Linked DNA regions of Stegostoma tigrinum. The protein of the gene in region 1 interacts with the protein of each later gene in a pairwise test. Links are inferred from orthologs where the notes say so. Each region holds a gene or a part of one and is shown on either strand. Other genes may lie near its edges. The genes, in order: aamp and apoptosis-enhancing nuclease-like.

Region 1 (16,596 bases):
TATAATTCTTAGGGTTAAAGGGATCAAAAAGAATAGGGTGAAAGGGGGAACAGAGGCATAAGTGGTCTGATTGCCCAAACCTGAAGGGCCGAATGGCCTACTCCTATTTTCTATGTCTGGTTCTTCAAGAAAAGAAACAGTTTTATAGATAGTAGGAACTGGAGATGCTGGAGAATCTGAGATTACAAGGTGTAGAGCTGGATGAACACAGCAGGTCAAGCAGCATCTTAGGAGAACAAAAGCTGATGTTTCGGGCCTAGACCCTTCTTCAGAAATTGGGGAAGAGAAGGGGATTCTGAAATAAATAGGGAGAGAGGGGGAGGCTGATAGAAGATGGATAGAGAAGATAGGTGGAGAGGAGACAGACAGGTCAAAGAGGTGGGGATGGAGCCAGTTATATATTCTGTCATGGACTTTTAGACCGTAAGACATAGGAGTGGAAGTAAGGCCATTCAGCCCATCAAGTCCACTCCGCCATTTAAATCATGGCTGATGGGCATTTCAACACCACTTCCCTGCACTCTCCCTGTAGCCCTTGATTCCTTGTGAGATCAAGAATTTGTTGATCTCTGCCTTGAAGGCATCCAACGTCCCGGCCTCCACTGCACTCCATGGCAATGAATTCCACAAGCCCACCACACTCTGGCTGAAGAAATGTCATCTCATTTCAGTTTTAAATTTATCCCCTCTAATTCTAAGGCTGTGCCCATGGGTCCTAGTCTCCCCGCCTAACGGGAATAACTTCCTAGCGTCCACTCCTTCGAAACCATACATTATTTTGCCTGATTGTGGCTCAGTGTCACCTTCTAGTGGTTGTTAAACATATGACAACTTTTCAACTTCAACAGAATTGCACTTGACAGCATAGGCTGCTCACGGGTACTAAGAAAAACGAAGTTGCTGGAAAAGCCCAGCAGGTCTGTGAAGTAAAAAAAAGAGTTAATGTTTCTGGTCTGGTGACCCTTCCTCAAATGTGGGAGGGGGAAGGGAGTTCCAAAATAAATAATCTAGTTTTGATCTCCCTTCCCCCTCCCCCATTTCTGAAGTGTTCTGACCGGAAACGTCAACTTCCTGCTCCTTTGATGCTGCTGTGCTTCTCCAGCTCCCTGCTGTGTTATCTCTTGCAGCATAGGTTGTTTGGCACAATATTACAGTAACAGCTCCTTGTTATAACTCAACAAATCCAACTGTCTCTCCCCCTTCTCATAGCCCTTTATCTCGTCCAAACTAATCCCATTGCCCTGCTTGTCTTTCCCATAGCCCTGTATCAATCCCCAAACTAGTCCCACTACGTGATGGTCATAATGTACAACCATCGAAGATACAGAGCTGTCTTCCGACACACTTGTGCAGAAATTAGGTTGTCTGATAATTAGATGTCAGGTCAACACAAATATAAACTTTTCTCCTCCATCCCAGCACCCCCACTATCAAGAATATTCCCAGGATGTGGGGAAAAAAAGCCAAGTCCATAACTGAGTTTGTCCATTGAGTTTCTTTAATAATTTGAGAGTGGGAGAGACTGAAGACTGGCAGCCTCCCTGAGGGCAAGTGGGAAGCGAGAGGTGCTGGGCATTTTGACCATCGGCAGGGATTCTATGGTTTACTTTGTGAGGCGATGATCTGCCGGTCATGTTCCTCCAGCTTGGACTGGTATCGTTCACTCTGGTATTCGCCTTCATTGGCATTCTTTATCCTCTGCCTGATCTTCAACTGTTTCAGACGGTTCTTATCAACCTCTCGTTTAGCAAGGAGAAAGGTGATGATGCCGGATGGCAAACCAATTAACCTGGAGGAGAAACGAGCAGGGAAATGGGTAGGATTTACAGGACAATTTGAAAGCTGCCAATGTGAACTCAGCAGAACATAACAGCAAAAGCAGATAACAAAAGATAGCAAGTACTGGCCAGCTTCACTTACACTGACCCCTTGACAGACCCACCCTTAACTGGCTCACCTTAGTGCGGACCTGTCACTGTGTAACTGACCTGTCCAGTCACAAATGCCTATCAACCATCACTTTTTGCTTCTGTCCCCGAGCCAAATTTGGACAAAGCTGACACCTTGCTTCGGATTGCTTGTGATTTTAATTTTCTGGTCAGCACCCCTCGCCCCTCCTGATGTGGGACTTGATACAAAACTTCACAAGAACGAATGCAGGTGACATCAATCCTACTCACATCATTGAACTGAAATTGCTGGAAGAACTCAGCAAAACCAAAGAAGGGTCACTGAACCCAATACTTTGACTCTGCTTTCTCTCCACAAATGCTGACAGATCTCCTGAGGTTCTCCAATGAGTTCTGTTTGTATTTCTGATTTTCAGCATCCATAAATTCTTTGTTTTCTTTTATCCAGCTCATGAAACTCCCTTGTTACCTCATCGTAAAACCGAATGGAATTAGTCAGACAGGACCTTCCCTTCTCAAAGGGATAATTAGATGCTAGGTCAACGCAATGGCGAACTTTTCTCAAATCTGTCCTGATTGTTATTTGGAAAGACTGATCAAAACCAATATATGACATTAATTTCAAATATTGAGAATAATTAAGGTAGACTGATTGAGTAACTACAGGTCAATCTGTCCTTTTTCAAACAATAATGCAACACAGGTGAATTATCCACCTGAAACAGATGCTAAACACATAAATATTTCATTTGTTACTTTGCTTTCAGTATTCCACACTTCACTCTGTTCCCTGCTTACAAAGCACCATTTCCCTCAGTTGTAAAGACAGACTCTAGCAGGCCAAGGCCCCCTGTGATGACCTAGGCCTCTTTGTGCTGTCAGTGCCGTTGGTTCCCTTTCCTGTAAATTTTGTGCACCCACACAGACCTTGGTGTCAATCATTCAGAACTCTCTTCCTGAAAAGGTGGTGGAGGCAGAGTCTCTGTATCTTTTCAAGATAGAGGTGCCAAGCAATTGAGGTGAAAGGTTATTGGAGTTCGCACAGCTGTGGTTAAAGTCAAATCAGCCGTGACCTTATGGAATGGCCTACTCCCGTTCCTAATTCTTATGTCTACACAAATCTCCGTTATTGTGGACATTCACTTTAGTTGGTAATATAGAAAGGTGAGAGTGATGCCCCTCAAGTCCTGCTAAAGAAACAATGTTGTTAAACTTCAAAGGATTCAGAAATGACCCATAAGGATGCTGTCAGGGTTTAAGCTGTACGGAGAGGCTGAATCGGCCAGGAAAATACTTTCCCTGCAGCATCAGAGGCTGATGACCTTATGGACATTTATAAAATCATGAGGGGCATAGATAGGGTAAATAGTCAAGATCTTTTCCCCAGGGTACAGGTGTCCAAAACTAGGGAGCATGGGTTTAAGGTGAGAAAAGAAAAATTTCAAAGGGACCTAAAGGACACCTTTTTCACGCAGAGGGTGGTGTGTGTATGGAATGAGCTACCACAGGAAGTGGTGGAGGCTGGTATAACTAAAACATTTAAAAGACATCTGGATGGATACATGATTAGGAAGGGTTTAAGAGGAATACGGGCCAAATGCTGGCAAATGAGACTACATTCATTTTGGATATCGGGTTGGCATGAATGAATTGACTGAAGGATCTGTTTCCATGCTGTACAGTTCTATGACTCTTGGTGTGGATCAGTGAATTCAGACTGCAAGAGCCTTATGGCCACTAGAAAGCCTGCCATCATTGGCTTCAGATCACAAAGAACTGACGGGTGGGAACTGTGATGATCAGAACTGGTCTCCCCTCATCTTGTACTCACATTCTACACATTCTTACCAGGCCAGGCCGATCTTTCCCATTGGATTCTTGGCTCTCCGTTGTGGAATGTATTCTGGACCCTGTGGGATTGGCTTTCCAGGAGCCTCTTCTGACCGCAACACTGGTCTGTTGCCATGGTTACAGTGGATGGATTGTACACTGTTTCGCAGAACTGTGGCCACACAACTGTGCACTGGCAGGGGGGTGCCAGGGGCACAGGCCCCGAACTTGGACAAACAGCAGCTCCAAATGCCTGGAAAAATAAAGACAAATGGGTCAAGGTGATTGTTGAAAGGTAAATGAGAGCAATGCTGAGTCCAGGCATCACTTAGCCTGAGGCAGTGACACAACCAGAAACATGGTAGTAATCTGACTAATCTAGTGAAGCCACAGGCACAGGTGAACACTCTGGGTTCATGGGTTCAAACCCATTTACGGTCCCTGATGGAATTTGAATTCAATTAATAAAACTGAAAATGAAAGCTTGTCTCAGTGACTGTGAAGAGATTTCATTTTGTTATTAAAACCCATCTGTAGGAAGAATATTATTAAATTGGAGAGGATCCAGAAAAGATTTACCAGGATGTTGCTGGGACTGGAGGGTTTGAAGTGTAAGGAGACTTTTGTCACTGGAGCATAGGAGGTTTATAAAATCATGGATTTGGTCAACAGTTTTGAACTCTCCCTAGGGTGGGAGAGGTCAGAATTAGAGGGCTTAGGTTCAACGGGAGGGATGAAAGATTTAAAAGGGACCTGAGGGCCAACGTTTTCACACAGATGGTAGTTTGTATGTGGAATGAGGAAGTGGCAGACACAGATACAGTTAAACATTTAAAAGACATTAGGTACACGAATAGCAAAGGTTTAGGCTAAATGCAGACAAGTGTGACTAGGTCAAATTGGGAACAGGGTTGGCACGGACAAGTTGGACTTAAGGATCTGTTTCCATGCTGTATGACTGTTGCCGTACATGGTCCATGAAGAAGGGAATCTGCTGTCATTATCTGGTCTGGCCCACACATGAATGTAGACCCACAGCCATGAAGCTGATTCTTAACTACCCTCTGAATTGGCTGAGTAAGGCACTCCCTTCAAGGAAAATTAGAGACATGCAAAAAAGCTGGATATGTTAGCGAGGCCCACATGCCACAAACTGTCACCGTCATTTTCACACTCTCCCTCCCTTTGTCTCCTCACTACATTAAACCTCCCAGGAACAGCAGACTCCTAGCACCATAACCGATTGATCAGGTTTGACGTGTGCTTACACAGTAATATTTGGTCTGTAACTAAGATGGGGCATATACCAACTGAGCATCAGAATTGACAAGCTGTCTTGCGCGCTGTAGGTCCCATCAGCAATAAATAGAAAGGGTGTTGGAGAGCAAATTGGACTGATCATTGTAACCATCTACTCCACAATGTCAGCGAGCCTGAACACATCTCTCAATCTACATCCTGGGGGTTATCAGCATTGCAAAGGGATCATTCCCTGCACACAGTGGCAGGATTAACAACAACGTCAAGGTTAGGTCTGAGAGAACAGAGTTCAGCAAGTTCTGCAGTTGACAGGTGACAGTGAGTGAGGGGAGCAAAAAAATTAAGGAGTCTCATCAACAAGTAAGAAGACAGAGGGAGAGGACCAGGTGAAAGGTAGGGAGAGGACCAGGTGAAAGGTAAGAAGAGAATATAGGTCAAAGCATCTATGAAGAGGCCTCCTGTGTAAACAGCTGGACACAGAGGAGAATGCAATGGGACAAGATGTTCAACAACATTCCATGGTGATGTTTGTTGAGGTAAAAGATGAAAAGGAATAAATTGGAGTCCCTGAATTCTTCAGCAAATAACTCACCTCCTGACTCCCCAAAGCCTGTCCACCACCTACAAGGCATAAGTCAGGAATGTGATGCAATACTTCCCACTTGCCTGGATGGGTACAGCTCCAACAACACTCAAGAATCTTAGAATCACATCCACAAACATTCACTTTCTCCACCACTGACACTCAGTTTTAAGCAGTGTGTACTATCTGCAAACTGCTGTGCAGAAATTCATCAAAGATGCAGAGACCGCACTTCCAAACCCACGATCGCTTCCATCTAGAAGGACAAGGAGGACTGATACATGGGAACACCGGCCCCTGCAAGTTCCCCTCTGAGCCACTCACCATCCTGACTGGGAACTATATTGCCATTACACTATGTATAGTGAAACACAGAAAATAGGAGCAGCAGTAGGCCATTCAGCCCTTCAAAACTGCTCCACCATTCAATATATCAACAGCTGATCATCCAACTCAGCACTCTGTTCCTGCTTTCTCCCCATATCCATTGATCTTTTTCGCCCCAAGATCTTTACGTAAAAGGTACAGTGACCATAGTCCTCCCAGGCCATAGTACTGTCTCTCATTAAGACAGAGAGACAACTGATGGTGGTTTAACCTGAGAGTCACTATGCCTCATGTGAAGGGAGAGGTTGAGAAGCAGTGTTCCTCACAACAATAAAAAAAACCTGAATGAACTGTGGATGCTGAAAATCAGAAACAAAAACAGAAGTAGCTGGAGAAACTCAGCAGGTCTGGCAGCATCTATGGAGGGAAAGCTGATTTAATGTTTCAGGTCCAGTGACCCTACTTCCAAACTTCGGTTCATCACATTTGAAGGGAATTCCACAGACACATCACTGTGGGCAATGAAATTTGGTCCTAGAGATCTACAACACAGAAAAAGGCCCTTTAGCCCATCACGTCCATACTGGTCAAAAATAACCACCTCACAATTCTAATCTCATTTTCCAGCACTTGGCCCAGAGCCTTGTATGCCTTGGCATCACAAGTGCACATCTGTATATTTCTTCAATGTGATGAGGGTTTCTGCCTCTACTGCCCTTACAGGTAGTGAATTTCAGATTCCCACCACCCTTTGATTGAAAAAGATTTTCCTCACATTTAAGACCGTAAGACTTAGGAGTGGAAGTAAGGCCATTCGGCCCATTGAGTCCACTCTGCTATTTAATAATAGCTGATGGGCATTTCAACTCCACTTCCCTGCACTCTCCCCGTAGCCCTTAATTCCTTGTGAGATCAAGAATTCGTCGACCTCTGCCTTGAAGGCATCCAATGTCCCGGCCTCCACTGCACTCTGTGGCAATGAATTCCACAGGCCCACCACTCTCTGGCTGAAGAAATGTCGTCTCATTTCAGTTTTAAATTCAACCCCTCTAATTCTAAGGCTGTGCCCGCAGGTCCTAGTCTCCCCGCCTAATGGAAACAACTTCCCAGCGTCCACCCTTTCTAAGCCACACATTATCTTGTAAGTTTCTATTAGATCTCCCCTCAACCTTTCAAATCCTAATGAATACAATCCCAGGATCCTTAGCCGTTCATCGTATGTTAAACCTATTTCCGTGAAACCTTCTTGCCTCTTCTCTTAATGCTATGTCCCCCAGTCATTGATCCCTTGATCACTTCTTCGTGACCACTCGATATATGGCCCTCATAATTTTACATATCTCAACTATGTCCCTTCTCAATCTCCTCTGCAGGAAGATAAGTTAACCTGGTCTAGCAAGTTTTGAGAAGATTTGTATATAACTCTTCTTATATCTCTTCATAACTGAAACTGTCCAGCCCAGGCACATCCTGGTAAATCTCCTCTGCATCCTCTCCTGTGCTATCACATCTCTCCTACAGAGTGAGCTCTAGGATTGTACACAGTACTGTAGCTGTGGCCTAACCCAGGTTTTACACACTTCAAGCATCACCTCCCTTCTCTTATAATTGGCCTTGCCTTGGCTAATAAATACACGTTTATCATATGCCTTCTTGATCACTTTATTCACCTGCCCTGGTAACTTATGGGACCAATTTACATACCAAAGTCCCTCTACTTTTCAGTGTTCCCCAGCTGTCTTACCATTCATCGAGTATTTCCTTACCTTGCCTGTCCTGCCTCAGTGCACCATCTCACATTTCTTCTCACCTCAGTCTGAAATGGCCTACTCCGTATCCTTAGACTGTGACCGCCTGGTTTTGGTCTCCCCCACCATTTGGGAACATCCTTCCTGTGTTTACCCCTGTTAGAACTATCTATCAAATCCCACCTCCTTCTAAATTCCACTGAATATAATCCCAACTGATCCAGTCTCCCTCTATAACTGAATGTGTGATAGATACTCCCTGTTTCCCTAAGACGCCTCCTCCATGAGTGACCTTCCTCAAAGGGAGACGGGGATTTACCTCTACTACCAACCTCCGGATACAACGCATTATCCTCCGACACTTCCGCCATTTACAATCCGACCCCACCACCCAAGACATTTTTCCATCCCCTCCCCTGTCAGCTTTCCGGAGAGACTACTCTCTCCGTGACTCCCTTGTTCGCTCCACACTGCCCTCCAACCCCACCACACCCGGCACCTTCCCCTGCAACCGCAGGAAATGCTACACTTGCCCCCACACCTCCTCCCTCACCCCTATCCCAGGCCCCAAGATGACATTCCACATTAAGCAGAGGTTCACCTGCACATCTGCCAATGTGGTATACTGCATCCACTGTACCCGGTGTGGCTTCCTCTACATTGGGGAAACCAAGCGGAGGCTTGGGGACCGCTTTGCAGAACACCTCCGCTCAGTCTGCAACAAACAACTGCACCTCCCAGTCGCAAACCATTTCCACTCCCCCTCCCATTCTCTAGATGACATGTCCATCATGGGCCTCCTGCACTGCCACAATGATGCCACCCGAAGGTTGCAGGAACAGCAACTCATATTCCGCCTGGGAACCCTGCAGCCATATGGTATCAATGTGGACTTCACCAGTTTCAAAATCTCCCCTTCCCCCACTGCATCCCTAAACCAGCCCAGTTCATCCCCTCCCCGCACTGCACCACACAACCAGCCCAGCTCTTCCCCCCCACCCACTGCATCCCAAAACCAGTCCAACCTGTCTCTGCCTCCCTAACCGGTTCTTCCTCTCACCCATCCCTTCCTCCCACCCCAAGCTGCACCCCCAGCTACCTACTAACCTCATCCCACCTCCTTGACCTGTCCGTCTTCCCTGGACTGACCTATCCCCTCCCTACCTCCCCACCTATACTCTCCTCTCCACCTATCTTCTTTTCTCTCCATCTTCGGTCCGCCTCCCCCTCTCTCCCTATTTATTCCAGTTCCCTCACCCCATCCCCCTCTCTGATGAAGGGTCTAGGCCCGAAACGTCAGCTTTTGTGCTCCTGAGATGCTGCTGGGCCTGCTGTGTTCATCCAGCCTCACATTTTATTACCTCTACTCCTGGAACAGGTCCTCCCAGCTACTGCCATCTTGATCCTCCAGAATCCCGGCAAGCAGCGGGGAGCACGGCAACTTCCTCACGGCTCATGCGCAGATACAGCCGCTGGTGAGACGGGACTTCAAATTCACGATTCGACTTGATTTACTCCAACGGATGACACTTAGGAGCGATCTGGGAAGAAAGACTCCATGAGGAGGAATCAGAGACGGTTTGCCCTCCATCAAGGCAGGACTACAACTCCCAGGGAGTCCCGCGGCGTGTAGACGGAACCGAACCCCGGATATTCCTTTCCTCACGGTTGTCCGGGTGATACCGAAAGCCGGTTCTGGATTGGCTGGAAACGTTGTCAATCATACATTGACCTTCCGGTTGGTGAGTCGGGCCTCGACAGGGCGCCTGCGAAAAGCCGCCTGGTCAACATGACCGGGTTAAGTCAGTTAGTGTAACTAGGTGAGCGGTAACTAGGGACGTGAGGGAGAATGGAAGAGGGGGAGCTGAGCCCCCAGCTGGAGTTACACCAAGGCGAGGAGATTGTGGAAGTGATCGAACTGAATCCCAACCAACAGCCGCAGGAGGAGGGTAAACATAGAGAGGGGGAGGGGCGTTAATGTGTAGGTGGGGGGCGAACATGCGTAGGAGGGGGCGGGGGGGAGGCGTATGGGGGGGTGAACACGCGTAGGAGGGTGGGGGGCGACTTATGGGGGGGCGGGGGGGCGACGTATGGGGGGGCGGGGGGGCGACGTATGGGGGGGCGAACACGTATGGGGGGGGCGAGGGGGAGACGTATTGCGGGGGGGCGAGGGGGAGACGTATTGCGGGGGGGGCGAACACGTATGGGGGGGGCGGGGGGGAGACGTATTGCGGGGGGGGCGAACACGTATGGGGGGGGCGGGGGGGAGACGTATTGCGGGGGGGGCGAACACGTATGGGGGGGGCGGGGGGGGGCGAACACGTATGGGGGGGGCGGGGGGGAGACGTATTGCGGGGGGGCGAACACGTATGGGGGGGGCGGGGGGGGGCGAACACGTATGGGGGGGGCGGGGGGGGGCGAACACGTATGGGGGGGGCGGGGGGGAGACGTATTGCGGGGGGGCGAACACGTATGGGGGGGGCGGGGGGGAGACGTATTGCGGGGGGGGCGAACACGTATGGGGGGGGCGGGGGGGAGACGTATTGCGGGGGGGGCGAACACGTATGGGGGGGGCGGGGGGGAGACGTATTGCGGGGGGGGGCGAACACGTATGGGGGGGGGCGGGGGGGAGACGTATTGCGGGGGGGGGCGAACACGTATGGGGGGGGCGGGGGGGAGACGTATTGCGGGGGGGGGCGAACACGTATGGGGGGGGCGGGGGGGAGACGTATTGCGGGGGGGGGCGAACACGTATGGGGGGGGCGGGGGGGAGACGTATTGCGGGGGGGGCGAACACGTATGGGGGGGGCGGGGGGGAGACGTATTGCGGGGGGGGGCGAACACGTATGGGGGGGGCGGGGGGGAGACGTATTGCGGGGGGGGGGCGAACACGTATGGGGGGGCGGGGGGGAGACGTATTGCGGGGGGGGGCGAACACGTATGGGGGGGGCGGGGGGAAGACGTATTGCGGGGGGGGCGAACACGTATGGGGGGGGCGGGGGGGAGACGTATTGCGGGGGGGGGCGAACACGTATGGGGGGGGCGGGGGGGAGACGTATTGCGGGGGGGGGCGAACACGTATGGGGGGGGCGGGGGGGAGACGTATTGCGGGGGGGGGCGAACACGTATGGGGGGGGCGGGGGGGAGACGTATTGCGGGGGGGGCGAACACGTATGGGGGGGGCGGGGGGGAGACGTATTGCGGGGGGCGAACACGTATGGGGGGGCGGGGGGGAGACGTATGGGGGGGGCGGGGGGGAGACGTATTGCGGGGGGCGAACACGTATGGGGGGGGCGGGGGGGAGACGTATTGCGGGTGGCGAACACGTATGGGGGGCGGGGGGGGGAACACGTATGGGGGGGCGGGGGGAGACGTATTGCGGGGGGTGAACACGTATGGGGGGGCGGGGGGAGACGTATTGCGGGGGGCGAACACGTATGGGGGGGCGGGGGGGAGACGTATGGGGGGGGCGGGGGGGAGACGTATTGCGGGGGGCGAACACGTATGGGGGGGGCGGGGGGGAGACGTATTGCGGGTGGCGAACACGTATGGGGGGCGGGGGGGGAACACGTATGGGGGGGCGGGGGGAGACGTATTGCGGGGGGTGAACACGTATGGGGGGGCGGGGGGGAGACGTATTGCGGGGGGTGAACACGTATGGGGGGGGAGACGTATTGCGAGGGGTGAACACGTATGGGGGGGGAGACGTATTGCGGGGAGACGTATTGCGGGGGGTGAACACGTATGGGGGGGGAGACGTATTGCGGGGGGTGAACTCGTATGGGGGGGGGAGACGTATTGCGGGGGGTGAACACGTATGGGGGGGGGAGACGTATTGCGGGGGGTGAACACGTATGGGGGGGGAGACGTATTGCGGGGGGTGAACACGTATGGGGGGGGAGACGTATTGCGGGGGGTGAACACGTATGGGGGGGGAGACGTATTGCGGGGGGTGAACACGTATGGGGGGGCGGGGGGGAGACGTATTGCGGGGGGTGAACACGTATGGGGGGGCGGGGGGGAGACGTATGGGGGGGGTGAACACGTATGGGGGGGCGGGGGGGAGACGTATGGGGGGGTGAACACGTATGGGGGGGGCGGGGGGGGTGAACATACAGAGCGGCGGGGGGGAAATGTATCGGTGGGGGTGAACATATGGAAGGGCGGGGGGGGGAGATGTATTGGGAGGGACAGACGTACACACAGGAGATGTGCGGGGGAGGGGGGTGTGATACCTGGGGGAGGCGGGGATGAAGCGCACAGAGGGGCAGGGGCTAGATGTATCGGTGGGGTGGACGTACACGTGGGAGATGTGCGGGAATGGGGACGTGAAGTGCGCAGAGGGGCCAGGGCGAGATGTATCGGGGAGGGGGGTGCGTGAAACGCCCAGAGGAGCAGGGGCGAGATGTATCCTTGGAGGGGGGTTGTGAAACGCCCAGAGGGGCAGGGGCAAGATGTATTGGTGGGGGGGGGGGGGTGGACGTACACGGGGGAGATGTGCGGGGAGGGGGCCGTGAAGCGCGCAGAGGGGCAGGGGCGAGATGTATCGGGAGGGGTGGACGTACACGGGGGAGATGTGCGGGGAGGGGGCCGTGAAGCGCGCAGAGAGGCAGGGGCGAGATGTATCGGGGAGGGGGGGGTGCGTGAAACGCCCAGAGGGGCAGGGGCGAGATGTGTCAGCGGGGTGGACGTACACAGGGGAGATGTATGGGGAGTGGGGTGTGAAACGCACAGAGGGGCAGGGGCGAGATGTGTGGGGGGCTGAATGTACGGTGGCGAGATGTATAGGTGAGGGCTGGTGAACGTATCGAGGCGTGGGGCGTGATGTATGGTGGGGTAAGCGTATTAGGGGGAGATATATCAGGAAGGCAGTGTGAAATGCGCAGGGGCCGGGGGGTATGTATCGAGGCGGGGGTGAACGTATAGAGGGCAGGGGGAGATGTATTGGAGGGGTGAACGTAGTAGGGGGAGATTTATAGGGACGGCAGTGTGAAACGCACAGAGGGGCAGCGGCGAGATGTATGGGGGGGCGGGTGGGTGAAACGCGCAGAAGGCAGGGGCAAGATGTACGGCGAGGGGGGCGTCAAACACAGAGGGGCAGGGGCGTGATGTATTGGGGGGTGGACGTACACGCGGGAGATGTATTGGGAGGTGGTTGTGAAACACACGGGCAGGGGCGAGATGTAAGGGGGGTGAACGTACACGGGGGAGATGTATGGGGAGGAGGGCGTGAAATACACAGAGGGGCAGGGGCGAGATGTATTGGGGGGGTGGACGTACACGCGGGAGATGTATTGGGAGGTGGTTGTGAAACACACGGGCAGGGGCGAGATGTAAGGGGGGTGAACGTACACGGGGGAGATGTATGGGGAGGAGGGCGTGAAATACACAGGGGCAGGGGCGAGATGTATGGGGGGGTGAATGTACGGTGGCGGGATGTATAGGTGAGGGCTGGTGAACGTATAGAGGCGTAGGGCGTGATGTATGGTGGGGTGAGTGTATTGGGGGGAGATATATAGGGAAGGCAGGGGGTATGTATAGAGGAGGGGGTGAACGTATAGAGGGGCATGGGGAGATGTATCGGGGGGTGAACGTACACGCGGGAGATGTGCGGAGAGGGGGCGTGAAACGCACAGAGGGGCAGGGGCGAGATGTTTGGGGGAGGGGAGTGAAACGCACAGAGGGGCAGGAGCGAGATGTATGGGGGGGTGAACGTACATGGGGGAGATGTATAGGGGAGGGGGGTTGAAACGCACAGAGGGGCAGGGGCGAGATGTCTGGGGGGCTGAATGTACGGTGGCGAGATGTATAGGTGAGGGCTGGTGAACGTATAGAGGTGTGGGGCGTGATGTATGGTGGGGTAAGCGTATTAGGGGGAGATATAGGGAAGGCAGTGTGAAACGCACAGGGTCAGGGGGGTATGTATGGAGGACGGGGTGAACGTACAGGGGGCAGGGGGAGATGTATCGGGGGGGTGAACGTAGTAGGGGGAGATTTATAGGGACGGCAGTGTGAAATGCACAGGTGGGCGGGGCGAAATATCTAGGGGAGGGGGGTTTGAAACGCACTGAGGGGCAGGGGCGAGATGTGTAGGGGAGGGGGGCTTGAAACGCACTGAGGGGCAGGGGCGAGATGTGTAGGGGAGGGGGGCTTGAAACGCACAGAGGGGCAGGGGCGAGATGTGTAGGGGAGGGGGGCTTGAAATGCACAGAGGGGCAGGGGCGAGATGTGTAGGGTCGGGGGGGTGAAACGCACAGGTGGGCAGGGGCAAGATGTATAGGGGAGGGGGGCTTGAAACGCACAGAGGGGCAGGGGCGAGATGGGTGTCAACACATGGCTGTGATATACAAGTGAGAGACAGTGCAGGAGACGTGCTCAGATCTGGGTGCATGGTGGATTCTAGTGGGCAATGTACTCTGGGTGTAATGGAAAGTGCTCGGGCTATGGGGGCAGCATGACGAAGAGAGACTAAGTGGGGTGCTTGGGGAGTCTGATGTACTGTTACGCTCAGCGTTACCTGAATGTGGGGCTTGATGAACCCAGGAGCTTCTCATTATGACCATGCAACAACACTGTGTCATGACTCAATTGTGCTCAAAATCATGCATTCTTTAGTTGTTTGCAAGTGTGATGTACTAGAAGCACTAGTTCACTGTTGAGGTTGGTTGGCTCGCCAAGCTGGTTTGTTGTTCCGCAGACGTTTCGTTACCGTTACTGCTACGGAGGAAACCCCAAAGTGAGGCAATCCATCGCAACGGACCCCAGAGTTTAAAAGCCAGGCGGGAAAACACACCGACACTTCATCAGAGGCTGCACAGGGGATGTTACCAAGCACGGTAATGAAACGTCTGCGGAACAACAAACCTCAACACCCACACCCTGAGCTACAGATCTACTCCAAAACCTTAGGGCTAGTTCCATGTCATGTCACCTGTCAGGGTGATCACAAGAACTATCACTTGAGCCACCTGTTTGTAGTGCAGATACACCCACACCTACCACAGCAATGGGTTTAAAAAAAAAGTCCATGGAATTTGGGGCATCACAAACTGGGCCAACATTTATTGCCCACCCAAATTGCCCAGAGGGCAGAGCTTTGGGCCTGGAGTCACTATAGGTAGATGTCAAGTACAGCAGGTTTCCCACCCTAAAGAACATTGGTGAACCTGAAGTCTTTATATATCAATCAACAGTGATTTCACAGTCACCATTAGGGCAGCTCTTTGTTTCAGGCTTTTGTTATCAAATTCAAATGTCACCATCTGCCACAGTGTGATTCAAACTCATGTCCCCAGAACATTGTCTTGGCGTTCAAGGTGATTAGTCCAGTGATGTTACCCCTGCATCATGATGTCTGGTTGTCCCTCTGATTCCTACAGACTGTGATGTGCTAAGATATGAATCAATCTTCTGACCTTTTCATCTCCACATCTCTGGCCAGATGACCTACTGAATGATGTGGAAGAAGATGATGATGACGATGATGGGGAATGGGAGACCGAAGATGATGAGAACATGGAGGTGGTACGAGATGACAGTGATCTGACTTTCTCCAGGCACACAAGTAACTGAAAAGTTTTTATGTGGGACGTGGAGCTGCTTACTTGGGTGGGTACTGCAGGGTGGAGTTGGGTGGAGGCAATGTAGATATTATCTCAGTCAAATATTTGAGGACCTCTGGGATGTTTATCAGGTGAATCTAACTCTACAGAATATCGAGTTTCTCCAGGTTCTGAAGAAGTCATGTCAGACTCAATGTTAACTCTGGTTCTCTGTCCTTAGATGCTGCCCAACCTATTGAGTTTTTCCAGCATTTTATTTTTATTCCAGATTTCCAGCATCTACGGTGTTTTGGTTTTATTTGGTTTTGTTGGTAGGCTGCATTTTGCACCATCTCCTCTGTTCTCCTCGGAGAGTCCAGTAGAATTCCTGCTCATATTTGTTATCTGGTGACTACTCAAGAGCCTGTTGGATGCTGAAGGAGGGCTGAATCTGATGAATCAGAATCCCACTGAGCACTTGTGCTGTTTGGAAGGACTAATTCATGAGGCAATTTCCTCATTTGGGTTGACTGGGAACTCCTGTGGTGCTGCAGTCCAGAGAATGGAGAATTGATGGGAGGAGAGAGGAGGCATAAAATGAGCTAATGTTAAAGCATACATCCTTGTTATTTCCAGAGGCAGTATTCTGCTTGAGTTTGGACCCGAAGAGTAATTCGTTGGCAGTGACTGGTGGTGAGGATGATACAGCCTTTGTGTGGAGATTGGCTGATGGTGAGGTGCTGCTAGAATGTACAGGTAAGTATTCTAAACAGGTTCAGACCTCTCACCTCTACAATGGTGCTGTTCATTGCCAGAGAGAGTACAGAGGGAGCGCTGTGCATGTCAGATGGTCAGTATTGAGGGAGCGATGTGCTGTCAGAGGCTGAGTGCTGTGGGAATGCCATGCATTCGGAGGGGCCAGCACTGAGGAAGCGCCACGCTGTCAAAAGTTTCATGGTCTCTATCACTGAGATTTTAAATGTAATTTGCTTTTTAAGAATGAACTTACTGCATAGGTAATAGAGCAGCTACTAATGAGTGGAATATGTGCTAATTGATACATGTGGACTGATTTTCTGTATTAAGAGGAATTGGGTATAAAGGAGAGTAGACTAAAGTTTGTATTGAATTATGAAATGTAAATAAGTGTGGAAGACTGATAGAGTCCTGCTTTCTGGTTTGGAAAATGATTGACCAAAAATGAGATAAATCTAGCTTTCAATTCCAGATTTATTAATTGAAGTTTCACCAGCTGCCACTTTGGACTATTAGACTGGTGATATTACAATTATACCAACATCCTCCTCCAGGCTCCTGCTCCTGCTCCTGTTACTAAGAACACAGACAGCTCTGTGATTTTATTGAAAGCATTGGAAGGTTGTCTACTTAAATTGTGT
Region 2 (16,181 bases), on another chromosome or scaffold:
GTCATCCATATATCGACTGATTTCAGAGTTTGTTTCAGAAGCCACTTCTTCATTTGCCATCGACAACTGATCGCACAGTTTTTGTTCCCACTGGCTCTCCACTCGTTGATACAACTCCATCGAGGTGCAGGCATCCTCAACAGAACAGTGCCCATCTCTACCAATCTGCCACAACAAGAACAAATAAGACCATAAGACATAGGAGAGGAAGTAAGGCCATTTGGCCCATTGAGTCCACTCCGCCATTTAATCAAGACTGATGGGCATTTCAACTCCACTTCCCTGCAACCCTAGATTCCTTCTGAGATCAAGAATTTGGATGTGAGTTTGCTCGCTGAGCTGGAAGGTTAGTTTTCAAATGTTTTGTCACCATTCTAGGTGACATCATCTGTGAGCCTCCGACGAAGCGTTGGTGTTATGTCCCGCTTTCTATTTATCTGGTTAGGTTTCCTTGGGTTGGTGATGTCATTTCCTGTGGCATCACCAACCCAAGGAAACCTAACCAGATAAATAGAAAGCGGGACATAACACCAACGCTTCGTCGGAGGCTCACTGATGATGTCACCTAGAATGGTGACGAAACATCTGAAAACTAACCTTCCAGCTCAGCGAGCAAACTCACATCCAGAACCTCAACCTGAGCTACAAATCTTCTCAAAACTCGCTATCAAGAATTTGTTGATCTCTGCCTTGAAGGCATCTAACGTCCCGGCCTTCACTACACTCTGTGGCAATGAATTCCACAAGCCCACCACTGTCAGGCTGAAGAAATGTCTCCTCATTTCCGTTTTAAAAAATTTACCCCCTCTAATTCTAAGGATCTGCCCATGAGTCCTAGTCTCCCCACCTAATGGAAACAACTTCCCAGCATCCACCCTTTCTAAGCCATACATGATCTTGTAAGTTTCTATTAGATCTCCCCTCAACCTTCTAAACTCTAATGAATACAATCCCAGGATCCTTAGCCATTCATCGTATGTTAAACCTACCATTCCAGGGATCATCCGTGAGAATCTCCGCTGGACACGCTCTAGCGCCAGTATGTCCTTCCTGAGGTGTGGGGCCCAAAATTGGTCACAATATTCTAAATGAGGCCTAACTACAGCCTTATAAAGTCTCAGAAGCACATCACTGCTTTTATATTCCAACCCTCTTGAGATAAACAACAACATTTCATTTGCTTTCTTAATCACTGACTCTACCTGCAAATGGACCTTTACAGAATCCTGGACCAACACTCCCAGATCCCTTTGTACTTTTGCCTTATGAATTTTCTCACTGTTTAGAAAATAGTCCATGCCTGTATTCTTTCTTCCAAAGTGCAAAACCTCACAGTTGCTCACGTTGAATTTCATCAGCCATTTCCTGGACTACTCTCCTAAACTGTCTAAATCTTTCTGCAGCTTCCCCACCTCCTCAGTACTACCTGCCTGTCCACCTATCTTCGTATCATCGGCAAACTTCGCCAGAATGCCCCAGTCCCTTCATCCAGATCATTAACATATATAGCGAACAGCTGTAGCCCCAACACTGAACCCTGCGGGACACCACTTGTCACTGGTTGCCATTCCGAAAAATAGCCTTTTATCCCAACTCTCTGCTTCTGTCAGACAGCCAATCCTCAATCCAAGCTAGTAGCTCACATCGAACACCATGGACCCTCACCTAACTCAGCAGCCTCCCGTGAGGCACCTTATCAAAGGCCTTTTGGAAGTCTAGATAGATGACATCTACTGGGTTTCCCTGGTCTAACCTACTTGTTACCTCTTCAAAGAATTCTAACAGGTTTGTCAGGCACGATCCTCCCTTACTAACCTGACGCTGCACTTCCAAGAATTTAGAAATCTCATCCTCAACAATGAATTCTAGAATTTTACCAACAACTGAGGTTAGGCTAATTGGCCTATAATTTTCCAACTTTTGTCTTGATCCTTTCTTAAACAAGGGGGTTACAACAGCAATTTTCCAATCATCTGGGACTTTCCCAGACTCCAGTGACTTTTGAAAGATTACAACCAAAGCCTCTGCTATTTCCTCAGCCACCTCCCTCAGAACTCTAGGATGTAGCCCATCAGGGCCTGGAAATTTATCAATTTTTAGACCTTCCAGCTTTTCTAGCACTTTCTCTTTTGTAATGCCTACTATGCTCAACTCTGCACTCTGAGTCTCCTTAATGACAGCAAACCAAGGAGAAAATCATTTCCCTGACACCATTCCTAATAAAATCACCCACCTCTGTCCCCGAAGTCCCAACTGACAGAGCACAGATCCACAACTGCAAACAAAACCCACCATATACATTACCTTATCCAAGGGCTCAATTCACATACATAAGTTTTGAGAAGTGGCAGCAGGCACTTCAACTATGAGGGGCACCATGTAAAATCTTACACTGTTCTCACCAGACATACGCAACTCTACAGATACAAGCAGCAGGAATGGAAGCCCCCTTGGCTGACAGGCCCAGGTTTTAACTTGATCAGGAAGGGAGTCGGGGAAACATCCTGCAGAATTCATGGCTGAACGGATCCGATTTCCCAATGGAGCAAAAATGCAGATAGATTATCAACATGCTCTCTAATTTTCTTTCTGGCTGTAAAGGCCTCTGAAGTCTGCGCTTGGCAGCAACCTCCATAACCAGAAGCTACAACTGCGATTGGAGTGCTGGATGCCTATCGTGGAACTTTAGAACTGCTGCGCCTGTGTGTGCAACTGCGCAGATTAGAGGGAATCTTGCATGTTACGTAAGGCCAGTAAGTTCCCCGTGCATTCTGTCGATAACACTCGTCTCTGAGCTTGTAATGTGTTCGAGCCACCCTAGGAGCGAAATACAAAATCAAGGCCCACATTTCAGTGCAGTAGCAGAGATAATCCATGTCGGAGGTGATGGAATTTTATCAGTGGGTTTGGGAGCGAGGAAGAGAGTTGAGAAGTTAGAAGAAACTTTGTCTAGTTGTTGTGGTGGATGTACTATCTGGCAATTACATTTACCCAAATGCACTTCAACAGTAACCTGCCGTGAAAAGACCAAACTAAGATTTTGCAAGCACAACGTAAATGCAAGGTTTTGGTAAAGTCTTGACAAGACCATACCCAAAATCTTGGGCTCCTTAATTAAGGAAAGATATACTTATCATAGTAAGTGTGCAATGAAACTCATCCTTGGGAGTGTCCTATGAGGAGAGATCGAGAAGGCCTGTCCTGTATTCTCTAGAATTTAGAAGAATGAGAAGTGATCTAACTGAAGTATACAAAATTCTTACATGATTTAATAGGCTAGATGCTGGAAGCATGTTCCCCAGGCTGGAGGGATCTAGAACAAGGGGACACTATTTCAGAAGAGGTAGGCAATTCAGGATAAAGAGAAGAAGAATTTCTCCACTCAGAGGTGGTGAACCTTTAGAATTTTCTATCCTCAAAAGCCAGTGAAGTAATTCAGTAGACTCACTGAATCCCACCAAGATAAATAATGAACTTCTAAACTTTAAAGTCTTCAAGGAATGTGGGGTTACGGCAGGAAAATGATGCCAAGTTGGAAAATCAGCCATGACTGAGGGGCCAAATAGCCTATTCCCATTTCCAATATTCCTGTTGAATTGTGCAATCAATGCACATGCTGGGGGAGTATAGCTAAGGCAGAACCCAAGGTTTACTGCCACATGGATGTTGTGTGTGTTCCAGCTCTGATGCACCCTCAGTCCCACATTGTGGAACAGAACTCCCAGAGTAAACGTATAGTCAGTTCATATACTCACCTGGATGCTTTTACCCAAAAGTTGCTTCGCCAGATTCTTCAGGGATACGGATTCTCTTTCAGGAAAGCCAGCCTTCCGCTTCAACAATGGGATCTTACTCGTGTCCCTTACCAGAGATGTCGGATGAAAATACTTCAGTGCTTTAAAGTCATTGTGCAATGCGTGGCCCACAACAATTTTACCCTTCAGTATCTTCAAAATCTAAATGAAAGCACAGATTTAACATGTTTATTACCTTTCAGATTTACTAACCCTGCTTGCACCCCACCCCTGTCATGCACTATTCTAACTGAGCTCACGAAGACCCAAGACCAAAAGTAGGCCACTCAAATCCATTGAGTCTGTTCCACCATTAGATAACAATATGGCTGATTTGATAATCCTCAACTCTACTTTCCTGCCTTTCACCCCAGTACCCTCTGATTCACTCCCTCAGAGAAGAAATTCATCCTCATTGGTCTTAAATGGGTGATCCCTTACTCAGCGATTATCATGTGGAGGTGCCATGTTGGACTGGGGTGGACAAAGGCAGAATCATACAACACCAGGTTATAGTCTCAGCGCTGAAGAAGGAGCAGTGCTCCAAAAGCTGTGATTTCAAATAAACTTGTTGGACTATAACCTGGTGTGGTGTAACTTTGGATTTCAGCGATTACACACTTTTGTCTTGGATTGTCCCAAAAGCAGGAACGACATCTCCACATCTACTACGTCAAGTTCCCCTAAGAAGTTTGGGCACACGATGGCTATTCCTGCATTGTCACTAGGTGAAAAATCCTGGAATTCTCTATCTAATAACACTATAGGTGTCCTTTCACCACGCAGACAACAGTTCAAGACAGAGGCTGATCTTCCTAAGAGAGGGGGAATAAATAGATATTGAGAGTGACATCCCCCAGAATGAATGTGCTTTTAAATTGTATCCACGCAGATGTGTCATCAGACCTGGGCAAAACCCCTGCAGGCTGAAAATGCCCAGCCATAATCACGTCCTCTTCCTTCACCACAGCTGTACTCCAATTCTACCTCACATACAAGGGAAGTCACTATAAATGAGAGGTGATGGCTTGGTGGTATTATCGCTGTACTGTTAACCTTGAGACCCAGATAATGTTCTGGGGACCCAGGTTCGAATCCCACCATGGCAGATGATGAAATTTGAATTCAGTAAAATAATTGGAGTTAAAAATCTAATGATGACCAGGAATCCATTGTTGATTGTCAGGAAAAACCAATCTGGTTCATAACATACTTTAGGGAAGGCAACTGCCATACTTACCCAGTCTGGCCTACATGTGACTCCAGACTCACAGTAATGTGGTTGACTCTGAAGTTGGGATGGGCAATAAATGCTGCCGAGCCAGGGACATGCTCATCCCATTAATGAATAAAAGAAAATTACTCAAAATACAAAACCCCTCGAAACTTGCAAAGTGTTATGGTAGTACTGACACCAAATATAATTTTTCTTAATAAGATACAAGGTTTAATTGTTTTATGGGAGTGGTGTGTCTGCAGTTTGTCGGTTGCCTGTTAGTCACATTGGAGTAGGTTTATTGGTTTGACTAGAATAGGTACATTAAATCTGTTTTTTTGCTCTCTGCTCGTAGATGATGCTTGAGCTGGTGAATTTTTGCAACTTTTTTGTTTTTATTTCATATTTTGATAACAAGTTCTATTACATCATCAGATATGGTTGAACCAAACATTATTTCTGGCAGTTTTCTGGAATTGAATCAACTCTCAGAATCCGTGGGAACCTGCAATTCTCAAATGTTCTCCAGTTAAAGGAACCCCCTTTTCAAACATCAATTTCAATCCCCCTACCCTATAACATCTAAAGTACAAATCGTGAGCATCATAAAGATACGAAAATAGAGCACATACAGATCGTTTTAATAATGCTTCTGATTCAAATCCTTACTGTCAGATATCAGTGAACTGGATGTGTCTACTTCATACTGCAGGACCTACCCATCATGGCTGGAACAGTGATTACATGAAATACATTAGGGAAGTAACAGGGTGAGCAGCAGCATTTCTGTGATCACCGCTCACTGCTTCAGCTTTGATAACATGCCCCAGGGAACTGCAGGTCTGTAGACCCAGCAATTTACAGAGCTTACAAACAATGTGACAATGAGTAGATACTCTTGCACAGTAATGCTAATCAAGGGATAAAAATTGGTCAAGACACTGGGGTCAAGTTGGTCAAAAAAATAGTTAAGATACACCTCGTCCTCTGCAAAGTAGTGTTCTGGGATTCTCTGCATACAACCCCGCACCACAAAACTTAATCGGGATCTCGGTGTAATGTCTTACTTGAAAGACAGGTTGTCTTTCAGCACTGCATAAGGGATGTTAGGCCAGAGGGAGTGAGTGATGAATTCATTAATTCCAGACTAAGGGATAATGGGTATTAAGTGAATGCAACATTCAACATGTTTAATACACCCACCTCCCTCCGAGCAACATTGAACTCAATTGCGTTCACCATATGCCATTTTCGAATGCCACTCCAGCGGGTCCGATAATCCGTGATGGGTTGTTTAGGCTTCACATACTTGTCATAGATGACTAGGCCCTGATAGTTCACGATGCTACACCTGGCCATTTCATTAACACGCCCACAGGGGCCTGTTCCAACCATCTCACAGTCAATTGCCACATACTTGGCAGGATTACAGCAGATGGGTGACAGACTTGTCTGGCACAGGAGTGCAGCTTGTGGCAGCCCATAAAGGTCCTCAGGATTCAGCAGATTTCTCCTTTCTAAAGGACAAGTTTTATCACTCTGGTCCATGAACTTCGAAGAGCAAGTAGAGTGAACATCTCTCCATTCAGCTTCAGGCCATGGACTGGAAGCACCAATCAGATGGGACTGATCTCCATTCACATCAGAACCACCTGATCGCGTGGCATCTCCAGACTGTAGTGTATAGTTTGGGTTACTGATGCTCGGACAGCTTGTTTGGTTCAAAGGTCGCTGCTTCCTTTTCATGTGACCCTGCTTGAGAATCCCTTCCTTCTCCAGGAAAGCCTTCCTCTCCAGGAAACGCACATGCCTCCGGCTTGGTATCTTCTTGCGCTTGGTCTGGCCATCGGGGCTTGCAGCCACAGGTGAGCAGCAGAGGAACTGGTTTAACCTGGAAGATGCAGGGAGCAGCCTGAAGTCTGTGACTTCAGAAGAGGGTACAGCAGGGTCTACACGCATGCTAACTACACTTGGCATTCTTTAGTCCAAATGGAGACTTCTTGGAATCTGCAAAATCAACACAAGTCCCTTAAATTAAGTGGAGACTCCTAGTAATAACAAGTTATCAGTCCCCTGAGTTTAGAAGGAAACAGTCAATGCATATTAATGAATCTCAGCACAGGTAAGTTTAATATTTTTCATCATCAGGCTCTGCCAGATAGTGATTTAGACTTCACTAATTTGTTGCCAGAACTTTCACATTATTACCAGGCAAGAAGCTTAGGTTTCATTTGTGGATTTTAGTACATAGTCCACACTGACACATCAGTGAAGTACCGAGTGATAAATCGTCTGAAATACCTTCTTCAGCCCATCCCCCCAACCGCCTGTTCAGACAAAAGAATCATGTGGCATTATTTAAGGGCAGGGGACAGGAATATACACACTACTTATTATCTCTCAAACAATACAATCCAAAACATTAACTGGTCATTTCCCCCAGTGATTATTATGCAACTTTTTTGTACTCGTTCATGAGGTGTGGGTGTCATTGGCTAGACCAGTATCTGGCTGCCCAACCCAAACATTCCTCCAGAAGATAGTGGAAAGGCACTATCCAGATGTGTGCAAGTCATAGCTGAGCAGATGCATCCAAAATGCTGCTTACGAAGGAGGACTTAGGGTTTTGACTCAGCTCTGTTTGACAACATTTAAAATGTGAATCACAGCCGAGGGGCTGGCATTTACACACCATCTTTTTCAGAAACTGACGACAGTGCCGACGTTCTCGGCGCTGACACCCTGACAGTGCGGCACTCCTACACTGATCAGCAGAAAGCCATTCGGCCCCTTGGGACACTGCCATTATTTACTAAGATGCTGGTTGATCTGTGACCTATATCCATTGGCCCACATCCTTCAGTACGTTTGGGGGGGGGGGGGGGGAACAAAATCTATCACAGACATAAAATTAAAACCTGATGCAGCATCCAATGCCGTTTGTGGCAGAGAGTTGCGAACCTCTACCACCCTCAGGGTGTGGAAATACTTCACGAAATCTCTCCTCAAGGGTCTGGCCCCTGCTGTCAGGATATGCCCTCTCGAAAAGGAAGGGTCACTGGACCTGAAACGTTAACTCTGACGTCTCTTCACAGATGCTGCCAGACCTGCTGAGCATTTCCAGCAACTTGTTTTCAACTCCCTCTCGAAGATAATTTATTTCTACGTACCCTGTCATTTCTGTTAGTAACTGATTTATTTTTTTTCTTAATCCACGCTGTCATTTCCTGATCTTGATCAGATCATCCTCTAACCTTGTAAATTCAGGAGAGAGACAGGCCTCTGCTCCTAAATTAACCCTTGAGCCTTACCGTGCCTCCGGGACGAGGATTACGAACCGCGAGCCTTGAAGACTCGGTGGCGTACAGCAGGCCCCGCTGGTAGCCGGGAGCTCCCCCCGACCAAACATCCGGTGTCAACGCAAAGCCCCACACTCCCTCAAACGCCGCTCCACCGGCTCCGGCTTCTGCCACATGCTTTCCAGGCTCCGCCCGCTCATTGGTTTAAGGTCTCCACTCGCCGATTGGCCTCCTCCGACAAATCGAACGCCGATTGGCCGCGGTGCCACAGTCACTGCACGATGATTGGTTATCCCTCAACCCCGCCTTCCGATTGGACGCCGTGCCAAGGTTACTGAATGCTGACTGGTCTTCTTACTTACCCGCTGTGCCGCCGCAGCTGCATGCTGGTTGGTTAGCCCTCAATTTCGCGCTCCGATTGGTCTCCGTGCCGCGGCTACTGCGCACTGATTGGGTAGCACCCGATGCCGCTCTCTGATTGGACGCCGTGTCCCACACAGTTGATTGGTAAATGCATCTCAGCTCCGTGCACGACTAGTGAGGAGCCGTCACGCTCAATGCCTTCTGATTGGCTGAGCTGAATCTCCTGGATTCCCATTGGCTATTGTTCACCGTCGTCATCAGGTTCGTTACGTCAGGCGTGGATTTTTTTTCTGGTCCCTGTTGTCAGGGAGAGGGCGGAAAGGCCATCTCTCACTGCTCAATAGTCAGTCACATTGGTGTGGGTCTGGAGTCAAGTATTGGCCAGAGCAGGTAAGGGTGGCCGATTTCCTTCCCTAAAGCGCATTAGTGAACCAAGTGGGATTTACTTGACGGTGGTTTCACAGTCATCATTAAATTCTGAATTCCGGATCCCCTTTTATTTCATTCAACATCAGACGTGATGGGATTCGAACCCAGGACTCCAGAGCATTACCTTGATGTCTGGATTAACACTCTAGCGATAAGACCACAAGGTCATTAGCATCGTGGCTGCTCCATGACCGGTCTCGGTATAGCTGCCTTTGGCCAATATGCTTTAATATCTCTTTTGGGGGAATTTTTTTTTAAGTGTACAAAGGGGCAAGAGGGAAATCCGAGAGGCACCTGAGTTGCGCACAGCGCCGCCAGCGGCTGGAGGCCAAATGGGGTGGGGACGGGCTTTGGGGGTCACATGGAGGTGAGGGCAAGTTTGGGGGTCGGACCAATGGCAGCTTCAGTGTCAGGTAGGTGCTGAGAGTAGCCTTGAGGGTCAGGCCAGGGACACTGACTGTAAAGTCTTCGTCAGTCCCTCTGAGGTTGAGAGATCCACTCCAGAGTTGCAGGTCATGAGGTGATTCACAGCCCAGTGCTGGATCTGCATACCTTACCATGGCAGGGTCATCTGAGTGTTGAAGAAGCTGGCAGGATGCTTGGATTTTAACATGCTTCCTCCACCGTTTGGGCTTGTCGGAAACATTCAAGATCTTAAACACTTTCTTGAATGCTTCTCCCACTGGAGTGAGAGAGTTCCATGGAGCTGCCATTGTTTAGTTCAGAAGAAGGGTCATGTCAGACTCCAAATAGTAAATCTTGTTTCTGTCTCAACAGATAATGCCCTAGATCTGCCGAGTTTCTCCAGGATTTTCCATTTTTATTGCAGATTTACAACAGCTAAAGTATTTTGCTTTTATTTTGTAGAGATGCTCATTTAGAGACCTGGCACTGTAACAAGTTTGTGATTCACTGACAAAAACATCAAGCAGACTGCAGTCTTTTGTACCTGAATTGCTGATTGAAACTCTGTTAACATTGATTTCTGCTCCAAAAAAAGTTTGAATTTATAAGACCATAAGAAATAGGAATAGGACTAAGCTGTTAAGCCTATCAAGCCTGGTCCACCATTCAGTTGAACCGTGGCTCATCCAACACTCCTCATGTCCATTTTCCTGCCCTTTCCTCATAATCCTACTGATCTGTCGGCTTAATAGTTGATAGCTGTCTTCAGCAAGGTGTTCCAAAGACCCTCAACCCTCTTAAGTGAAGAAATTCTTCGTCATATCGGTAATAAATTGGCATCTATTAATTTTGAGACTATGCCCATTTATCTTAGACTCTGCTATAAGTGGAAACATCCTCTCAACATTTACCCTGTCAAAAAGATTTACAAAAACAGGATGTTACTGGGACTGGAGGTTTTGAGTTTTGAGAAGGAGCGGATGGATAGAATAGGAGTTTTATTTTCCTGGATCATAGGAGGTTGAGAGGTGACCTTATAGTGGTTATAAAATCATGGTGAAGAGCAAAGGTCTTTACTCCAGGGAAGAGGAGTTCAAAAGTAGACGGCATAATTTTAAGGTGAGAGGAGAAAGATTTAAAAGGGACTTGAGGGGCAACTTTTTCACACAGTGTGGTTCAAATCCCGAACTGTCATGAAGAGATAGATGCAGGTGCAGTTACAGCATTTAAAAGACATTTAGACAGGAACATGAATGGGAAAGGTTTAGAGGGATATGGGCCAAATGCAGGTAAATAGTACAAGTTTAGTTTGGGAAATGTAGTCGACGTGGACAAGTCAGACCAAAGGGTCTGTTTCTGTACTGTATGACTCCATAAAATTCCCTTTATTTCCCACAACAACGGAAGTAGTCCATTCAGCCTCTGAACACGCTCTGCTATGCAGTTGGATTTGTGTTGACCTGTGTGTCAACCTAATTTACTGCAATTTGATTCACATCTCTTACTGCAACAATCCAGGTACATTTTTATTTACTTCTCAAACGTCTGTGTGCCTATTGCTTAAAACCAGTTCATATGAAGCAGTGGGACGCTAAAGATTTTGGACAGTAGATGTCACCATTGTACAGCTGGTACTGTAGATTTTTCAGTTTTTCACATTCTACCCTTTCTATTCACACATTCTGCAACACACACACACACACATAAAAACATACAGTTCTTAATATTTTTCATTTCCCCTTGCGGTCTTGACGTTACAATTTTTGACAATTGCCTGGCTACATGGTTTAAGATGGGGTGTACATCGGGTCCAATAAACAGCTAGAGGGGATTAAAAACAGTTAGAGAAAGAAGTAATACTTGGAAATGAATGTACTGATCACTTTGGAGCTCCATTTTAATGTGTGCAAGGTGAGTCAGACCACCATATATCATTTGCAAATTTTACTAGTTTTCTCTTCTACAGGGCTGGCTGTGCTCAGACTGGGAAGCCATGTTTTCTGTTTCTGCCCCTGCCTGGCTACATTTGATGCATTGGTCTGCCAACACTTTTTTTTAAAAAGTGCATTAACTTGCATTGAAATAACACATTTAATGCTGTACAGCAAAATGTGTCAAACCGCTTCTCAGGTGTGCTATCAAATGGCATTCGACGTTGTGTCACATGTTAGGATAGGGAGCAATAGTTTTGTTAAAGAGGCGGGTTTCAAAGGGTGTTTGAAAAGCAAAGAAAGATGTGGGTTTGTGGAAAGGTTGAGGGAGGGAACCCAATGATTAGGGCCTAAGACATTCTCACCAATCATGAATGGATGGAAATCAGAGATGTGCAAGAGGGTCAAAACTGGAGGAATGCAGGCACCTCAAGACAACTGAAAATTCCCCCGATTAAATATTGCAAAATCTGAAGCATTGTTTTCAGCTCTTGCTGCAAAATCCATTCCCTGATTAGTGATTTGATCCTTTCTCAGGTGTGAGATTCAGTCCCTCTATTCACCAAACAAACAATTAAAACCTGAAAAATACAACAGGTCAAGGAAATCTGCTGAGGAAAAGAAGAGTTAATGTTTGAAGCCTGAGATGGTCCCAGATGTGAGATGTTAACTCTCTTTCCCTCTGCAGATGCTGTCTGACCCACTGAGCTGTTCCAGGTTTTGTGTTCGAGTCCCTCAGTTTTTTTCTCTTTGCATGCATGATAGGCTAAATGGTATCTTCTGCATTGTAATAACTCAGTGATTCTGTGATGAAAAGCACCATCTAAATATTTCCTAATCAATCTGTGGAGATGCTTTTAGTATACACCTCTGGAACAGGTGGGGCTTAAACCCAGGTATTCTGATACAGGGGTAAGGACATTTCACTGTGTCATGAGAGCCCTCCTTGTGAGTGGCACCACATCAATGAAAGTTTTTAAACTTGTTTCAGTGGACTGATGTTGAATTGCCAATTGAAAGTGACAAATTTAGCACAGACTTGGTGGTCTTTTTGTTTGAGATGGCTCAGATACTCACTGCTTTTGTTAGCCTGAGCTTGTTTCTTTTCCCTCCCCCTGTAGAATTCCAACATCAGAGGTATCCCTTTCATCAGTACAGATACAAATATGTTTTGGTCTACACTCAACACTGATTAAAAGTCTAACTTATTTTTCTCACACCCTCTATAAATTCCCTGGACGTTGACTTCTTAATTTAACCTTTTGCAACCTATGATATTTTATAAAAGGCACGCAACACCTTTTAACACCTGTAATGAGTTTTCCTTTGCTTTGTGAGTAATAGGGTTGGGTCCCTTTATATGAGACATCACCACGGGTCTAATTGTAGATTGCTTTCAACACAGTTGAAATAGTGTATAATTACTGTCATTTGGGATTCAGAACAGATAGAAATGAAATTTCAGTGACTCGTAAATTTAAAATATGATTCTATGCAGTCAGAGGGTCCCTGGGGTTCAGGCGTAGTAGTTATCCCAATTTACAATTGAAGCAAGACCACACCATCTTCCTTTTTATGAGTGGAAATTGAACATATGAAATGATCAAACCATCCTTTTTGCATATTAACCATAAACATTTCATACAGTTTTAAAATTGATACCTTTCTTTATGAAAGTATAATTCAGTCTAGCATTCAAAGTTCCAAAACAGCATGGATGTCAGCGAAGAGAAATTAAAAAGAATTACTTAAAACAAAGTATAAATTACTGATTTGGACTCTGCCAGAGGGCTCGGTTTCTGGTGCAGAGCCTTAAGATTAGACCCTCAGATCCAGCATTGAACAGACACATGCTATCTACCTGTATTCTTGAAGCCTTTAATTTCCATTCAGATTTGATCACTCCAGTTTACTAATTCAATGTAATTTTGAAGAACAGAGCCTGCACAGTCCCTACTGCACCAGCATGTCAGCCTAGACATTTGTGCCCAGGTATCTGGGACACATCTTGAAGCATTCTTTTGACTCAAGGCAAAAGTAACTGGTACCCCAAACTCACAGCTGATGAACTAATGTAAAATATTCCAAACATTGGAAATCTGAATTGAAAATGCCAAAAATACTCTGGGACAGGCAGTAGGATGGAGAGAGAAACAGGGTTAATATTTCACATCAGTGATGAAAACTAACCCACCTGAAGTGTTAACTGACTTTCTTGGAAAGTGGGATTTTTCAACACGCACGCCATTTATAGCCCATCCTAAGTTGCTGATGAAAATGTGAACATAAACCATGTTATTGAACCACTGCTGTCTATGTCCTGAAGATACTTCTGCAAATCTGAGAGTTGGGGAATTCCACAATATAGACACAGTAGTCACAAAGGAACAGGAAGTATGCTGTGTAACTGTAAACAAACCAAAATCCCAACATACATCAGTCCCTTCAGGAACACAAAAGAAAAAGTGGGAGATGGCGGATTGTAACATGGAAACTAGAAGCAAGAGAAAGCCATTCAATTTGATCATGGCTGATCCTTCATTCAATTGCTATATTCCTAAACTCTGCCCATTCACCTTAATGTCTTTAAAATCTAAAAATCTAACTCTTGTGCACCAAATGGAAAATGTTTACAATGAGAAACCCAGACTGACATTTCAGTGCAGTATTGAGGGAGTGCTGCATTGTGTTTGAGGACCATTCTTTGGATGAAACATTGCTGAGGCCTTAGCTCCTAGTGCACATGAATGTGAAAGATCCCGTGTCACTATTTTGGAAGAAAACAGGGTGTGCTCCCCAGTGTCCTGCCAATACTTATTCCTCAGTCAGTATCACAGAAAAATCTTATCTGGATGTTAACATGTTACTGTTTGTATGAGTTTTCTGTGTGAATTTGTAATTGTAAATTGGTTTTTGCAATTTCTGCATGATGTCAGTCTTCGAAAATAAGGCCCCTTTAACAAAAAAACGCTCCAAAGTTGGTTGAGAGCAGGCAATGCTCATTGGACTTTTATTTAAGAGTTGAAATCTCCACTTCCAACTTTATTTTGATTTAGCTGCTTCTGTCTTTCTCCTTTGATGGTCTACATTGCCCTAAACAGGCTTTGCATGTAAATTAATCAGTTGGAAAACACAAGTGATTTACTGCTGGTGGGTTAACACATGGGAAAATATAGCGAGCGATTCAGTGATAGGCAAGAAAAAGTTCACTTGTATATGAGAGTGCTTCTGGATATATAAAGAAAGAAAAAGAGTTGAAATCTTCATTGCGCATGTTGGGCTTTGCGTGTAATTTGATTGGTTAGAAATAGGTGATATATTGATGGTGGATAATAGAGGAAAAGTACCATGGATGATTTGGTGGTGGGGAAAAAAATGCTGAATTCTTCCCCACTGGGGTCTTGGCTTCTGGACAGGTAAAGTAGGGAAAGTTGTATTTGTACTAAGCTTTGCATTTACAATCAAGCCCTTTTGCTTCACCTGTATCAACATATGGATATTGACTTGTTAAACACATAGCAATGCTGACTACACTTCATACCCTACTCTGAGAAACTCCTTATTCGTGAACCTCCAAGAATCTGTGATTCCATGTTGGACCTGCCAAGTCACCTGAGCACACACAAATCATGATGCCCAGCAGATATGGGACTCACTTCAAGTGATATATCTGGTGGCAGAATCTAGGGAACAAAGAGACATAATCTTAAAATAAGAATGTGGCCATTCAGGAATAAATTAATTGAGGGGATGGTGAGAGTATGCTATGAGGAAAGATTAAATTGACAGGCCCTTTATTCTGTTACGTTTAGAAGGATGAAAAGTGATCTTCATTCAAAGTTATTACAGGATTCTGTTATATTTGAAGTTAATTTAAATCTGCACCAGTGCTCACGATTTCATACTTGGAGTGAAGCTGAGTCTGCATCTCACCACGTGGTAAATTCTCCACCATCTTCTTTTAGACTGAGTAGATACTTATTCTTAATTTGATGGAGAAAAACGTTTCCCAATCCACCTAGAAGAGGCTCTTGCATTGAACAAGAACTAGCTTAGAGCATAATAAGCAACTAATAACGAGTTACATTGATATGACAGACGTTGTTACAGAGACTACAAAGTTGTACGAAGATCTTAAGCTGTTCTTCCCACAAGTCCATTTGGCATCACATTAGTAGGTGGGCTTATATCACCTCTCTGATTTAACCCTTTTATCAGACCCTATACAATGGGCTCAACAACGTAAATGCAGTATTTTTCCTCTGACTGTTAAGTCTAGAATCAAGGGTCACAGTCTCAGAAAAAGGGACATGACATTTTGGACGGAGTTGAAAGGGAATTCTTTTACTCAGAGGTCAATCTTTGAAATGAGTTGCCACTGGAATTGTGGAGGATCAGCTATCAAGTATGTTCGAGACAAGATGTGTGGATTTTTGGAGAAAAATAATGGCAGTGCATTTTGTGCAGGAAAGTGTTGAAGCTGATCAGCCATGAATATTGAATGGTGGAGTGGACTTAAGCAGCTGAATGGCCTACTTCTCTTGATTGTTGTGTTTTAAGTAGAGAAACAGAATAGACCAGACAGCCCATGAAATAACTTTTTTCATGCAAAGTTAGTTAAAATCTAAAACAGTCCCATCCTCAGGATGTGAATGTTAAAGATCAAACTGAATACTGAAAGATGGAATTTTTTAAGAAGTAAAATTATTGAGGTACATGGATTAAATAGAAAGCCAGGTATGGA

Evidence for each region.
Region 2: the proteins of aamp (region 1) and apoptosis-enhancing nuclease-like interact in binary tests that used the Homo sapiens proteins (3 or more experiments, as listed by UniProt). The link is inferred for Stegostoma tigrinum from reciprocal best matches to the Homo sapiens genes AAMP and AEN.

Annotation. Positions count from the first base shown.
Region 1 is NC_081360.1:104,051,330-104,067,925, forward strand, and holds the start of aamp (angio-associated migratory cell protein), read left to right. Parts: upstream 1-9,062; 5' UTR 9,063-9,507; coding exon 9,508-9,607; intron 9,608-15,099; coding exon 15,100-15,222; intron 15,223-15,835; coding exon 15,836-15,955; intron 15,956-16,596. Other genes in the region: si:ch73-71c20.5 (DUF4748 domain-containing protein), read right to left, coding at 1,597-1,789, 3,759-3,993, 9,020-9,056. UniProt on the Homo sapiens protein: Plays a role in angiogenesis and cell migration. In smooth muscle cell migration, may act through the RhoA pathway.
Region 2 is NC_081386.1:28,562,123-28,578,303, reverse strand, and holds the start of apoptosis-enhancing nuclease-like, read right to left. Parts: upstream 8,432-16,181; 5' UTR 8,322-8,431; intron 7,018-8,321; 5' UTR 6,988-7,017; coding exon 6,214-6,987; intron 3,957-6,213; coding exon 3,756-3,956; intron 166-3,755; coding exon 1-165. UniProt on the Homo sapiens protein: Exonuclease with activity against single- and double-stranded DNA and RNA. Mediates p53-induced apoptosis.